3 linked regions of the Tribolium castaneum genome follow. The protein of the gene in region 2 interacts with the protein of the main gene of each other region in a biochemical or structural test. Links are inferred from orthologs where the notes say so. Each region holds a gene or a part of one and is shown on either strand. Other genes may lie near its edges. The genes, in order: sgg, armadillo segment polarity protein and casein kinase I.

Evidence for each region.
Region 1: of the proteins of armadillo segment polarity protein (region 2) and sgg, one has a biochemical effect on the other in vitro, tested with the Drosophila melanogaster proteins (2 studies listed by BioGRID). The link is inferred for Tribolium castaneum from reciprocal best matches to the Drosophila melanogaster genes arm and sgg.
Region 3: of the proteins of armadillo segment polarity protein (region 2) and casein kinase I, one has a biochemical effect on the other in vitro, tested with the Drosophila melanogaster proteins (2 studies listed by BioGRID). The link is inferred for Tribolium castaneum from reciprocal best matches to the Drosophila melanogaster genes arm and CkIalpha.

Annotation. Positions count from the first base shown.
Region 1 is NC_087402.1:5,756,890-5,762,367, forward strand, and holds the start of sgg (glycogen synthase kinase-3 beta), read left to right. Parts: upstream 1-1,700; 5' UTR 1,701-1,853; exon of another isoform or gene 1,854-2,143; intron 2,144-4,582; 5' UTR 4,583-4,603; coding exon 4,604-4,925; intron 4,926-5,478.
Region 2 is NC_087395.1:16,174,575-16,178,174, forward strand, and holds the start of armadillo segment polarity protein, read left to right. Parts: upstream 1-1,065; 5' UTR 1,066-1,190; intron 1,191-1,225; exon of another isoform or gene 1,226-1,314; intron 1,315-1,530; 5' UTR 1,531-1,550; coding exon 1,551-1,584; intron 1,585-1,636; exon of another isoform or gene 1,637-1,699; intron 1,700-2,369; exon of another isoform or gene 2,370-2,480; intron 2,481-3,600. Other genes in the region: uncharacterized protein LOC660622, read left to right, coding at 705-799. UniProt on the Drosophila melanogaster protein: Isoform neural may associate with CadN and participate in the transmission of developmental information. Can associate with alpha-catenin.
Region 3 is NC_087395.1:22,153,021-22,158,585, reverse strand, and holds the start of casein kinase I, read right to left. Parts: upstream 3,241-5,565; 5' UTR 3,123-3,240; exon of another isoform or gene 3,064-3,122; 5' UTR 2,873-3,063; coding exon 2,750-2,872; intron 2,369-2,749; coding exon 2,262-2,368; intron 1,696-2,261; exon of another isoform or gene 1,671-1,695; intron 1-1,670. Other genes in the region: serine protease 27, read right to left, coding at 3,487-3,660, 3,708-3,847, 3,901-3,990, 4,036-4,205, 4,252-4,535, 4,920-5,084, 5,130-5,269, 5,324-5,413 and 1 more. UniProt on the Drosophila melanogaster protein: Casein kinases are operationally defined by their preferential utilization of acidic proteins such as caseins as substrates. Can phosphorylate a large number of proteins. Negative regulator of wg signaling.

The sequences.
Region 1 (5,478 bases), on a different chromosome or scaffold from region 2:
CCCGTCGCAATTTCTGTTTAAATTTTGCATATTGGGTTGGAACCGTTTCGCTCTTATTTATAAAGCAACCGTTTAAATTTTAACACGGATCGAACATTGACTTGATGAAAGGCAAAAACAAGGAAGTGTTAACTGGGTATGTGAATTTCCTGGTTGTCTGGAACCACTAGTCGATTAATTAATTACCCGGTAAAATGCAAAGGGTTCGCTCAATTTTCAGGTCATGTTGAATGAACTTTGCTTTATTTCTAATAATAAATCGTTCCGATTGAATGTTATTCGTTTTTACTACGTTTTAAAACGGTGTAAAATGGAAGTGCGTCATCCCATGTCCCTATCGTACGTTACAATGTAAATTCATGCATGAGAATATTTTGTTTCAGTACACTTCGCACAGTTTCCATCCATGCATGTAATACGAATTCCATTACCAGCATGAGGTGTAGCGTTTTTCTAAACAACTGGGGTCCATCAATCATCGACGTATCTGTTTTAAGATGAATAATTAATCCACAACATTTTCTAAACCAATTATGGACAATTATAAATATGAAACGATTAAGAACCTTCGAATTTTATCAAAGTGTGTCAAGTGCAGCGCTGCATTTTAAATCAAATTCGATTTTAATTTCTAATACATTGACATTTTCAACGATCCAACGGAATGATTAAGCACATGTGTCCGTACTTTGTGGTGTTATTTTACGGCAAATAAATTAGTTTTGTTTAATAAAGAAACAGTTCCGTGTTTTGTTTACTCAAATAATTGACGTTTGTTGAGAATTATCATTGTTTGGATTAACTTTAATTAAATGGTCCGGTTCTAAACTTGAATTTGTTCCCATGACAATCGGAATTGTTTTCCGAAGTAGCAAATGGAAAATTAATGATGTAATAGTCATCAATTTAATTCATAATCCGATCTGCGTTCCCTGTTTTGGTTTATCTCCATTGCGCCTTTGTTTAAGCAATACTTAATTAATCAGATTAATGAACGAGTCAACTTTGATCAGTTATTGTTTGCAAAATTACTCCTAAGACTATTTTTACCCAAATATTGGCGATAAAACCGCGAACATCAAACGGAAATTGGACATTTTCTTGGCAATAACTCAGACGTGTGCCAATGGGTGTGTGAGCGTTTAACAATCCGCGAAGAAGTTGCGAAAAATTCAATTCGGAACAGTTTGTGATTTTTATCGCAGTCGGACGTCTTTCCAACTTTCCCAACTATTTTCTTCACGAAATGGGAAAATAGTCGAGACGTCACACAATCGTCGACGTCAAAGTCTATTTCGCCAAAAAACATATGACGCTTTTGGCATCGATCGATTTTAGTTTCACTAAGTCTATCCCTTCTTGACCTCAACAATTTTTTCGTGCCGTGAACTTGGCCCGTTTGCTTATTTATAGCGCTGTCATTGTTAAATTTTGGTTTTCGTCTTCAATGCTAAAACTTTTAATAGGTGACTATTTCGGTTGTGCACACAGTGTGCTCGTTATATTTAGATTTTGATTGCAAGGGGAAACGACGAAAAGCGAGCACGTGTCGGTGGTACACGTGCCCGACATGTCAACGTGACGATTTTTTTTCCATATTTTATGTTCCCCAAAACGTTGGAGAGATGTAGATAATAATCCGGTTTATCTATTTTTTATCTAATCGGATCTGTTGGTGGGTTTTTCGCTAGTTTCGATCACGGGATCATGTGTGATACGTTTTTAATTCGTCCTCCTACTGTAAATATTTGCCGAGTTGAGAATTATTATTGGAAAGTAAATATCTTCCTCCTCGCCGTGACATTCTACTCCTAGCATTGCTCTCAAGTCTCAAGATCAGTCTTATCCGAATCGTGAGTGCAGGCAGTTGCGTTTATATTGCAATGAAACTCGGATTTGGCGTTTTAATAACAATAAGACGGCGGTCTGCGGTTCGATTCGCCGCTAACGAGATTCATTAAACACCCTGTTGTGCTTAGTGTGCGTATTTGATTTGGAGTGGTTGAGTGGTTAACACCTGTGTTATTTCACTGACCCAATTTGCGAACTATTTCCACGGGAATTGCACACGAAGTTGGAAGAGTCAAGGCATTGCCTTCGATTAAGCGAACTTTTTGATGGATTAAACTTCATTTGAATAAACGTAATACTTCCGACATGGTGTTAAGTACGCGATTATTTGCATGGAATGGAAGAATTCCCAGAGAAATTTCTAATTTTTAGAATTCAAGTGTCAATAACATTTGCGTACCGAGATTAGATTATTTACTTGAATCAAACCAATTAAATTTAATTATTAAAAATTGCTCCAACGTCCCTGGACTAATATAAACAAGTGTAGACCGTGGCCCATTTACTGCGTGGATACGTTATTAAAATCGAGTTAAAAGTATTTGTTTACTGGCAAAAACAATGAGTCAAACGACGTGAGGTGCCTACGATGTGAGATGAAAATAACCGTTTAATTTTTAAAACACTCAATACGTTTTATTTTCACACTATCGATATCACAATAAAATGCTTATTGTGTGATTGTTGCAATAACTGCTATTGAAAGTTATTTTTAAATGTGAAATACGTGTTCGACCTGGTCTTATCTTCGATTTTTTCTGAAATAGCAGTGATTTTGGGTTGCACAGACACAATCACTCCAGTGAGTAACTGGAAATATTTTTATTTTCTCTGATAAAATATTTAATTTATCTATTGTCAAGAAAGAAACCGATATTAACTAAATTGGTTTATTTATTTTACGGAAAGCTATAGCAAATTTATTATGGTCAGTGTACATAACGGCATATGTGATTGTTAGTTTTTGACAACTCTAATAGCTTAGAACAATTTCTCCTAACGTTTTCACAGGCCATTTTTTCGAACAAATTTTTTGAGGTCAAAAAGTCATCTGGTCTTTGTATTCTTATCTATTTTCACGTTATTCTTATTACAGTAAATTATTATAAAAATGTTGTTAATCACTTGTTGAAAAATTTGTGAGAAAATTTTAAGACAATTACATTAAAAAATATATATCTTTGAACTTTAATATCTAGAAAAAAACATCTTTCTTTTTTTTTCTTATTATCTTTAATTTTAATTTCGTTCTAAATTCGCTTTAGACTTATGTGTATTGTTGCCACGTTTTTTTTGTACACCATAAAGTTTTACAGCAGACAATGGTGTTTAAGATAAGCACTTTTCACAATAAGATATTTTGACAAGGGTGACCCGAAAATATTTACGTTACCGATCGGTTTGTCTGAAAAACTACAGACAGTCTGCAATAAATCACACAATAAGCTTGCCTGAGTGATTAGCTTGAAGGGTTTGGGGTAATCATAATAAAAATTTAATGGTGTACAAATAAAATGTTACTACAATAACTCTGTCATTAGACGTTTTTTGGTTCGTTTTAATAAAATTTCAGAAAACCTGAGTTTAGAAATTCAAAAGCAAATTCTAATTTGGTAGTTTTTGACGAAATTCCTTACGCAAAAACAAGATGAATCTAAAAAAAAACGATAATATTATAAAAAAGATTTTCTGATTGTTAAACGTACGAACTAGTTCGATAACGTCAATTTTTTCGTCTATTTACGCGATATTTTGCGTAAAAGTAACCTAAGCATTGAAAAAAAAACAAAAACTATTATTTTTAATTGTTTAGCGATGGGTTTTTAATTTTTTTTAAAGAGATTTTCAAAAAAAATATTCGTTTAATTTTTAAGACAGTTTTTTAGGAAAAAATTTAAGTTCAAAAATCGACCTTCCATCGAAATTTTTCGTTGTATTAGAAGGAAATTTCGCATTATAAGAGATATTAGCTCAAAATATGATAATTTTTGACGTAACTTAATTTTTCGATCTATTTTCGTTTTCATGGTCGTTTTTCAATTTCAAATCCAGGGAAATCTATGATTATTTAGTGTAAAAATGGAATACTGGAGTCACCGTAGCTACAAATTCGATAATTTTGTATTACCAACTTAGGACCCACAGTTTATAAACACTCTCTATGTATTACAGACACTCATGTTTGTGGAATGACATGAGGTGGCCAAAATTCCGCTGTTTACTTCGTCAAAAATGAATTCATAACAAGGAAAATGGATTGAGTTATTTTTGTAATTTTATCAAATTCTCACTCTTCTAATTTTGTGTGGAATTAAACAAGTCCCAATTTATTGTTCCAGTCAAAAACACTTTTCTTTGTTTGTCTGTTCTTAGGTGGTAAAGTAATCCTTGGTATTTGTTTTTTCAGTTTTCAGTCGGCCGTAAATTGCCGTCTAAATATTTACCAAACAGTGCAAAAATACCAATCAGTGCTAATTAAAATACCGCAGGTATCGAACTAATCCGGTATTTTTCTGTTGGCTTTAGATCAGTTCGTATCACGCACCAAACCGCCACAAATCCATATTGTTTTGTGTATTGTTTCGCATGACGTGTCACAGTCATGTAGTGCTTCTTACAAAAAAGTATGTGGATTATTGTTGTGAATTTTCTAACCTTACAAAAACCGGATGGGCGTCTTAGATGCGCATTAAAATCACAAGGATTACCTTGACCAACCCATTTTTCTCAGTAGTACGGGCTGATCGAATCCATGGCGCCCAAAATCGACGAGCCGGGCAAAAATAGCGACTCTAAAGTCGCAAGTGATGCGAATTATGTGGTTAAAAAACAGTGCGAGTGTAAGAAATTGCAAAGTGTTTTGCCCGAAAAGAACAAAAACGCGAGACCTAAGTACGGCAGGTCAGTTTCTGTGTGCGATTTATCTTCGGACAAGCACAAGTCGACCAAGAAAAGTGCGACTTTGGGGTCGGTGCCGGCGATCGATGGACTGGGGAAAAGCCAAAAAACGACGGGCTACTCCAGGTTGTTGTATTGCTGGAGGAAGTTGAAGAGGTCGCTGTCGAGCTCGGGAAGTAAGTAGGAAAATTTTCACGGTGAAAAATCGACAGAATCGGCGCTAATTGAATTATCTCGATTCAATCAAACAAGTGGCGTTTTCAATACTGCGTTAATTTTCACAATGATGCGGCGTCGAAAGTGGACGGAAACAAAACATTGGAAGAAAGTGTTACGGAACATAATCGAGGACAATGATTAGAATCTGACTTTCTTCGCCATTTAACGACGAAAAACGACAACTGTTTCGCGTGTGCGTTTTAACGTTATTGTGTCCCTATGTAAATAAATTTCTCGACAACAAAAAGATTGACTTGTGAGAAATCGCAGTTATTAAGAAAAAATACTACAATGTGCTTATCTCATCAACGAAACAAGTTTATGGACCCGTTCCTTATCGTAATCATTTTTAACTTTCCAAAAAATATTCCATTACGATTTCGCACGGTAGTGTTCTGCTTAAATCAATTACGATTCACTACTAATCGAAATAACAGTCTTACATAACTGTTACACAAAATATTACTTTTTGAACGAGAAAATCCGCAACGCTACAATAATAAGCTTTAT
Region 2 (3,600 bases):
AACTAAATGAGAAAGTGGGTGTCAGTTTATGAGGGAAAATCATAAAAAGCTGGTTACTCGGGAGAAATAATATACCTCAAGAGCTTGTCTGTTCTCTCTTATTTCACTTCATGAATTTTTAAATGAAATTGGAGAATAACTCGGAATAAAGAATTTATGAATTACAATACCTAAAAAGGCAGAAAATAATTAACTTGAGAGCTTAAATTATGGAAAACACCCGATAGCAAGAACAGACTTGTGTGGGCGCAAGAAATAATTTGTCGTCGTGTACAGAATCCAACAAAGTTGGGAGTAATTCTGATTTAAGATAATATAATTCAGAGTCGAGCGTTTTGTCACACCATTTCCATACTTAACTTTCTAAAACTCATTCCAAGTCGTAAGTTTATTATTCACGTTTTTCACATATGAATGCAAATGCGGGGACTTTCATACAAAAGCGTGCAAAGTTTTTAAAAATCTCCACATTCTCAATGAAACAAACAACTTCTATTTTCCCCATTTACAGTGCGCCAAGTTTGCGTTGGCTTAATCCAAAATCCATACTACATTATGTAAACTTTGTTTTCGTCTCACATTACCCAAACAAAGCTTAATACCGCTTCCGTAGTGAATAAATTATTAAGCTTCATAGTCTAGCCTGATAAAATGGCAACGTCGCACTGTGTGAAAAGAAAATTGCAACAGTGTTAATTTTTTAGGTGCTTGGATAAGGGGCATTGCCGATTTACCGGTGACCTTATCAGGTCACGCTGCTATCACTCTTCCTCCCGCCATGCTAATTTCAAACGAATAAGTGATAAAAACAGGAAACAATATTTGATGAATTAAAGATTCCTGTCGTGGGCGTTGAATGAGTGCGGCATCTGATTGGGAGATGGCGCCGCGCTACTTGAAGTACTTTTACACCATAACCATAGTTTAGCTTTAGAAATTATAAATTTAGCGTTTTTTTATACTCTAATGTTGTATTTAAAAATGTTATACACGACCGTACATTTGCTGCTTTTTTGATACATGAAATAAAGATTTTTACCTTAAAATCAATGATTTTTCCCTTTGACATTTCAGCATCTTGTAAACAGGTCTGCCAGCCAATCTGATATTTGTGATTGGGTGCGGTGTTGTTGTGTTCGTTATCGTATATTATCGTAATTTAAAGGGAAAAAGTGATTTTGTGGCGCAAGGTAAGTTATTTCGGTGTAAAATTATCAATTTCATTCATTTGTAAGTGTGAGAGTGAGTTTTTTGTGTGGTTTGGCCAAGTTTTAAAAATGTCGATGAACTGTGTATGACAACATGGATCTCTTTGTGAGTGGGTGATTCTGATTCTGATTTAGTCCGATGTCTGATCGGTTTGTGATTGCAATCTTTGGAAATTGTGATCGTTACACAAACGAAGCGTCTGGTGTTTAATTAAATGTTTCGGTTTGAAAGCACGTAACGATTCCTCATCCGGCAATTCCTTGTCACTGCTCGAAATTCCAATGAGATTGGTCATGAGATTCAGAGAATTCCATGTTTCAGGTGTGGTGTGGTAATTCGCCATGAGTTACTTACAGTCCAACCCGAATAGACCCAGTAAGTTGCATTCTTGTATTTTAATTGTTTGGTGTTAATTAATTATAATCAGTGTGTGAAGGTTTCGTAAACACTTATTGAGAGAGGTTTCCAGTTTGATAAACATCCTTCAAATGTAAGTTTATTCGGTTACAGTCAAAGGTTACAATGAGAATTCCCTTTAAAAACCATTCCAGATGGTGTGTTTATAATTGGATTGTTAGAAGAAGTTTATTTCCTCTGCAATAATTCATTGTTTGATTATTTTCCACTTTTTCTTGTGGAGGTTTCGGTATCTATGACCCCAGTTGTGACTAAGAGCCTATTATTCATACAAATCATACATTCTCATAAAAAAATTAAGAAAAAATTTGTGTATAATACATGGGCTTTCTTTACTCGTTCTAGAGAAATAATCTTTAAGGAAGTACCATACTATTATATTTTATTACAATTTAATAAGCATATTTATTCCATTATTAGTTAGTACAAGATCTTCTCTTACATAGAAATAAAGAGTTCTTAGAGTATATTCAACATTTAGCAAGTATTTGACCCTTTTTTTGACTAGATATCAGTCTAATAAGCCTACAGAACATGATTGTATGAAAATATTGGAGTCGTTTTCCTAAAGTGAAAACTTTTTCTGTGTATTTGGTGATCTTTCCGAAAGTAATTTTGCTGCTATCTCGTATTTTTAGTATCTTTTATTTACATGTATTCGTTCTCCTGAGTAACTTTTTAACCATATATTAGATACGTGGTTAGTATTGGTATGATTCAATGTTTAAATAAAATACAGATATGTTGATAACGATAAGCAATATACCTGAGTAACGGTTTTGTACGCTAACATTGAAAGAAGCAAGTGTTTAACTGTTTAAATTGCAATTGAATTTTCTTACTAACTCTACAAAGTAGGTACAATTTATTTTTGAATTATTACTTATTTGGTTACAGTAGCATAGTTTATTTTAGTTTATTCTTATATTCTAGTTTATTCCTATGAAGTTACAAAATTGATTTATCGTGTATGCCAAAAGTTGCGGACAGGCACTTACGGCTGAACTATCCGAAGAGGAACTGTTCAAGCAAACGCGTAAACGCAAAATTTGTAAGTTCAAATTGCTTGAAAAAAATATGTTAACTTTCTGAGAACTTTAGCAACAATATACATCCATTTGAAAAAAATTGTTAGTATCATTTAAAAATAAAATGAAAAAACCTCAATTTTTAGTCATTTTATTTTTTTAATAAAAAATGGTACTATATTTTTTGATAATTTTTTTTGTGGGTATTTTATGACTTACTTGTAATACTGTATTTTTTCATACTATTTGAACTTTAGGTTTTTCCATAAAAGCATTAAGATTATTACGCTGTTTACCCCGTTATAACTTGGTTACAAATATTTAAATCGAGATAAGAACTGGTCCATGAGTAATATGTTAACCTAGGAACAACATCCAATTGTAAAAAAAAACAATTTTGTTTATTATTTTTCTTAAAAAAATTTCTCAAATTAGTGCATTCGCACGGCCACGTGGACCGTGAGTCCAGTATAGTTCAACCTTAAGAGCTATACAAAAATAAAATTAAATAAAAAGCGATACAAAAATTCACAAAACCTTTCGTTTTGTAAACAAAAGTTGAAATAAAAAACAAAAAGTGACAACGTCGTAAGAGAATACTTTATTGTTACTTATTTAGAAAAATTGTAACCAAAAGTATTATCATAGTAATATTTGTTATTGACTGCACCTTTAAAATTGTGTTTTTAACTCATTTCAAAAACCAAGTGAAATGTTTTCTTACAATTTTTTTGAAAAAAGTTGGATAATAAATCAAGTAAACATTAAAATATACCATTTTTTGTTAGTAACAATTTTACGCCTTCTTTTTAACATTTGAATTCTAGATTACACTATTTTAAAACACGCTTTCTAAAGCAACGTGTTTTAAATTAAAATGTTCCAACAAAAAAATTGAATAACTTTGGCAGCTGTTTGGAAATAAACGGCCAAGTTTTATAGTTAT
Region 3 (5,565 bases), about 6.0 Mb from region 2:
CCAGAGACTTACAAGGTTTCGAGTCCTTGCAAGTTGAACAATGAACGGTCTCGGAGGAGATAAAATGACAACGCTGCAAGTCTCAGCTCGCATTTTATTTTGTCGTTGACCTTAAGAATTTTCGACGATTTTCTAAAATCCACGTCACTCTTGTTTTTATTTACAAATTGCCACGATAAGATAACGCGCTAAATAAGTGCGCATCGGGTCTTAATTTAAAGATATTTCGCCGAATAAGTGAGTTAATGTGGTCAACCACCGGAAGTCACTGCGATAAGGTCGACGGTGATTTTAAATATCAATCGTCATGAAATCTAGCAAAATTCCGCGTTGACTTGCAAAGGCGTGACTCATAAATAATTTACAACAAAAGCAGATTGTAGGAAAAAATTCGTAATTTTATGTAACGGTCGTTCGACTCTCCATTCTCATTGAACAATCGATAAATTACGTCCGAAATCCTTTACTTTCGAGAATGTGACGAAACATCAACACGATTTGAAGCCGCTGGTGTCTTAGGGGAAAGTTTATGACCGGGTGATGGGTGAATCAGGCGAAAATTTCAAACATATTGCCTCAAAAACATGACCAGACACTGATCTAATATAAAAAATGAGCTGAAAGCGACGGTGTATTCATTTAAACTAAAATAGAAATCGCTCCTGCTGCTAATAGATTAATAGTAATATGTAATAAAAAGCTAGAACTGTAACATAAAACTGCAGTTTCACTGGTGACTAATTAAATAAAATAACTAAAAATTCCGCAAACGGGGCTATAATTCTACTTTTCATAACATGAATATCGACTTAAATAAAATAACTATGTAAAACACCACCCACAAAGCATTCCAAATAAAAAAAAAAACGTAAAACAGCAACCAGTGTAAAAAATCGAATATTTAAAAGTCCGTAACAAACAATACAGGGACTGGCAACGCTTATTACGCTCAAGCAACAGATCGTGACTTTTATTAGTTACTTAGAACTGTCGAAATTTTATTTATCCAAGAAAACCGCCACTTCGAATGAAACAAAATTCTGGAAATTGTATACACCTGACTGTATACTGATAAGAAATTTATACTTAGTTGGTTAAATAATAATCGGTCTTACTTATTTAAACGCAAACCACACGCGTAATTTATTAGATGGTATAATTTGCCACCAAAGGAATTACTTACCAATTGCCGATCTTTTTGAAGCCCCTTATAATATCGTCGATTTGTATAAAAATAAGAATTTGACTTTCGGGTCTAAAATTCTATTGTTTATTTTTGTCTTTGTATATGAAAGATTATCAAAAAAATATGGGAGATACCTTCCCAATGTATAAAATGTCAAGAATTTTTATTTATGTAAAAATTTCGATTTTTTAGATATTTTTTTCATTCCTTAAAATTAATATTGATAGATTAGTATTAAGTTGCTGAAAAAATATATTATTTCTCATTTTAGAACAAGCAAGCGTTGGTGCAAGCGACAATATGTAGAATATGTCAAATCAGAATTCGATTTTTTGGCAAAAAAACAAGATATACCTTTGGCTTTATTTATAAGCGAAAAATGACATGTAGCTTACCAATGTTAAGTGCGTATACTTCAAGAACTTCATTTAATTAAAAGCTAGCCAATGTATTTTTCCATTTCTTTCTTTCAAACCCAACTTACCCACAAAACAATTAACCAACAGGAAATAATACCACTTACAATCACAGAAAAATCACCTCATGTGACTGCGACCTGTTAGCTGTACCTTTCATTAATAAAATTTGAATCAGACAAGTATTTACATCAATTTCCACCTAGCGATAAAAATTATCACATAGATCATGGTTTAGCAAAGATAAGCATTAAATTGGTATTCTCAATTTAAAAAAAATACCCATGCAACGTGAGTATTTACATAAAACTGAAATTGAAACTTAATCAAAACTTTTGATTATGTATTTCAACTCTGGTTTGTGAAATTAAAAACGTTTCATAATAAAGCAATTAATGTTGAAACGTTGTATTGCATTGAAGTATTGTAGACATAAAATTAAGTAAACACGTGCAAGCACTGTTTCCGTTTATGAGTGTTTCATTGAATAAAAAATAGAATTTGTTGTTTTGGTTCGACATAAAAATGGGCACAAATAATGCATTTATGTAAATACGGATCGCCGAAACCTTCCGTTCATTATGTAAACAAAATACGGCGCAATTATCTGCAGATGACTTTCGTCTGATTCACCCTGTATAGTCCCATCGGATGCTCACCTGATATGTGGGATTCCTATGCCACCATGTAGAATTTTGTACAATTTACTTTCGTAGAGGAGTTGGGGGTGTCTTGCTCTAATTGATTCGAGTTTTACAGCGACTTCCTATCGGAAAAAACGAATTAATGGGAATCGTCGAAATGGGGGCGCAAATGCGCCCAAAAATGGTAAAAATGAGCGTAAAAATTGTGAAATGTGTCGTAAGAGAGGCCCATATCCTGGTGCGCTAACCTACTTTTGGCCGTCCGCGAAACAAAGAGAGACTCTTTGTGTGGCGGCGTTTGGGGCCATTCCTGGCCGAAACGCCAGGATTGTGGGCGATTTCGAGGGCGAAAAGGGTCCGACCAGACGGGGCCTTAATGGCTGCCATTGTGATTTGTGGTCGGACTGGTTTCGTGTTTTTTCGAAACAAAGCCACGACTTAAAGGTTAAGACGTGTCGTAGGCCCGTCTGGAGGCGCATTTGGACGGTTTACGGCCGCTTTACCTCTCCGTTTGTGATGTTGATGCCCAAGTAGATGTCCCCGAAGGAGCCACTGCCGATTTTCCGAATTAACCGATACTTGCCACCAACTATAAACTCCGATTTGCCGATGCAATGCGACGCCATCGTGCTAATTTCAATCGAGTCTTTTCGCGTGTCGTCTCACAAATTTGGATGCCCCTTTTATTTTATTTTTCCACACAATAACTATCACTTGCTCCACCAACACGCCGACATATTGCTCTGACTGATCGCTTGTGCGTGACGTCACGACGAGTTGCACCCTCTTGTGGACGTCGCACGAACGAACCTAAACACTGAAAAATTTTACAAATCGGTGGGATTTTCAAGGGGGCGATTTTGGAACGTCACGCACTTTTACGATGACAGAAAATTCGACGAAAATTGACGGGAACGACGACTTACAAAGGGGCGACAACAATTTACAGGGAACCGTTACCACGTTACCGACGGCGTTCTGGGACGACGCACAGCGACCTCCAAAATGTCGCCGCAGCGGCAACCAAACAACCGAACTGGCAGGAAAATCAAAAATCAATCAGCACTTCCACAATTTCATATTTTAATTTATTACAACAAAGCAATTTAACCAAAACATAAATGTGTACCGAGAGATTTGCACCTAATCCAATTAAGGGGGCACAAGTCGCCTTCGAATTTGAAAATTTCGAAAAAACTTTAATTAACAAACATTGCATATTTATTTTTTTAAAGTAGATTTAATTATGCCTGGTGGCATTATCAATCCATGCGTAAAAAGAATCGACTCGAGTATACCCAGTTGGGTCCAAGCTTTCGCACCCATTCTGGCTTATAAAACTAGCTATAGCCACATGGACATAAAGTTCTATTCCCACATCAGCGGAAGTTATGAGTGGTCCTCCAATATCGCCCTAAAATTAGTTCCTTCAATGAAAATTTAACACGTAATTCGACTAACAAAACAGATTCCTTCGTTGTAATTTCCTTCAGCACAAATCATCGTGTCCACGAGTTGATTTCCGAAGTACGTTTTGCAAGCGTTTTGCTCAATTATTCCGATTTCAACAAAATTCAAACTGTTTGCCAACCCACTGTCCTCTATAACGAAAAAAAAATTAACAGGACGATAAAAAATGGTAATTAGTAATTACCATCACTGGTTTGTCCCCAGCCTGCAGCCTTAACAACTCGCCCCGGATACAAGTACCCAAAATTCGCAACAATTATGGGCTCGATATAATCTAATAAAAAACTCAACTTTACTGATTTTTTTTAATATTAATTACCAGTGAATGTGATAGGCATCCGTAATTTAATTAAGGCAATATCGTTAGCAAGCGATATTGTCGGATCGAAACCTTCATGAATAACGTAAGTGGAGGTCGTTACAATGACTCGGTTTTCGTCATTTGATGACAGTTGATTCGATCCCATTTGAATCGTGAATTGCGTAGCCCTAAAAAAATCCGAAAATTTATGGAAAAAATAAGAGACATTAATACTCGTAGACACATTGCGCTGCGGTTAAGACCCAACGAGCGTTAATCAAAGCCCCCGAACAAAAATATCTGCCGTCTGGAGTGTCTTTGTAAATAGCGACTTGCCAGGGGAACTGGCCACTTGCAGCAGCATTTCCTCCGATTATTCGCGGTCTGGAATTGAAATTTTCGCTGTCGTTGACTCGTCGCAGATTAATTACGGATTTTTTAGCCGAAATCACAAAAATGAACGAGAAAAGGAGCAGTAACGGCTTCATTTTTGCACTGACTAAATTTTGGCCGCGGTTTTATCGGCAACATTACGGCGATAAGTATTTGGTTAATCTAGGAATTAACAGGATTTGTAGCATGTAATCGTTTAATCGCCAATAATTTTTATTTAAGAAAAACTTGAACGCTCTGTGTAATGTAATACTATTACCGTATCGCAAAAACTATCAGTCACGCAGAAAACAGCGTTTGCTAATAATTTTTTTTTCAGTGCGTGTTAGTTTTATCAAACTTTTTCTACAAATAGATTTATAGTTAAAATCAAATAATTCATAGAGAGTCGCTATTTTTTTATCGTTGTTCAATTTTAAACTGACAAGTAATTTGCGTTAGGCAAGCGTCAATTTTTTATGGAATAAAATTCATATTTGTTTTAAACAATTTATTAATCACAATTTCTACATCGTTTCGGTTACATTCTGAATCCAGGCTTTGTACAGATCGGTCCTGATATATCCCGAAGGGTGCAACTGTTCGCAGCCACTCTGACTGAAAAATCCAGCAACGGCAATTTGTACATAATTGTCAGCCCCTTTGGCTCGGATCAGCGGACCACCAGTGTCTCCCTATTATCTGTTAATATTTTATCAAACTCCGGTTATCTTACTTACAGTGCAAATGCCCTCATTGAAGTTACCAGCAGTACAAATCATCGTGTTTTTGATTTGGTCACCGTAGGTCTGTTTACACTCATTGTTTGATATAACTACCACGTTTGTGTATTGGAGATTGTTAGACAAACCGGCAGTTGCTAACAATTATTGATAACTTATTCTGTTAATAATTGGCAAATAAATTAAATTACCGTCAGCGGTTTGGCCCCATCCTGAGATTATGGCGGCACTGCCCTCGGAAATGGCCCCAATGTCGGCCAGTTCGATTGGTTGTATGTAATCTACGATTTAATCTCAAACAAAAAATTAAATTTTGTGGTTGTTAGTACCAGAAAGTTCCACTTTCATGTGCAGTTTAATAAGCCCGATGTCGTGCTCCAAAGTCAGGGGGTCGAAATTGGGGAAAGCGACTGACGTGGAGGTTGAGAGAACC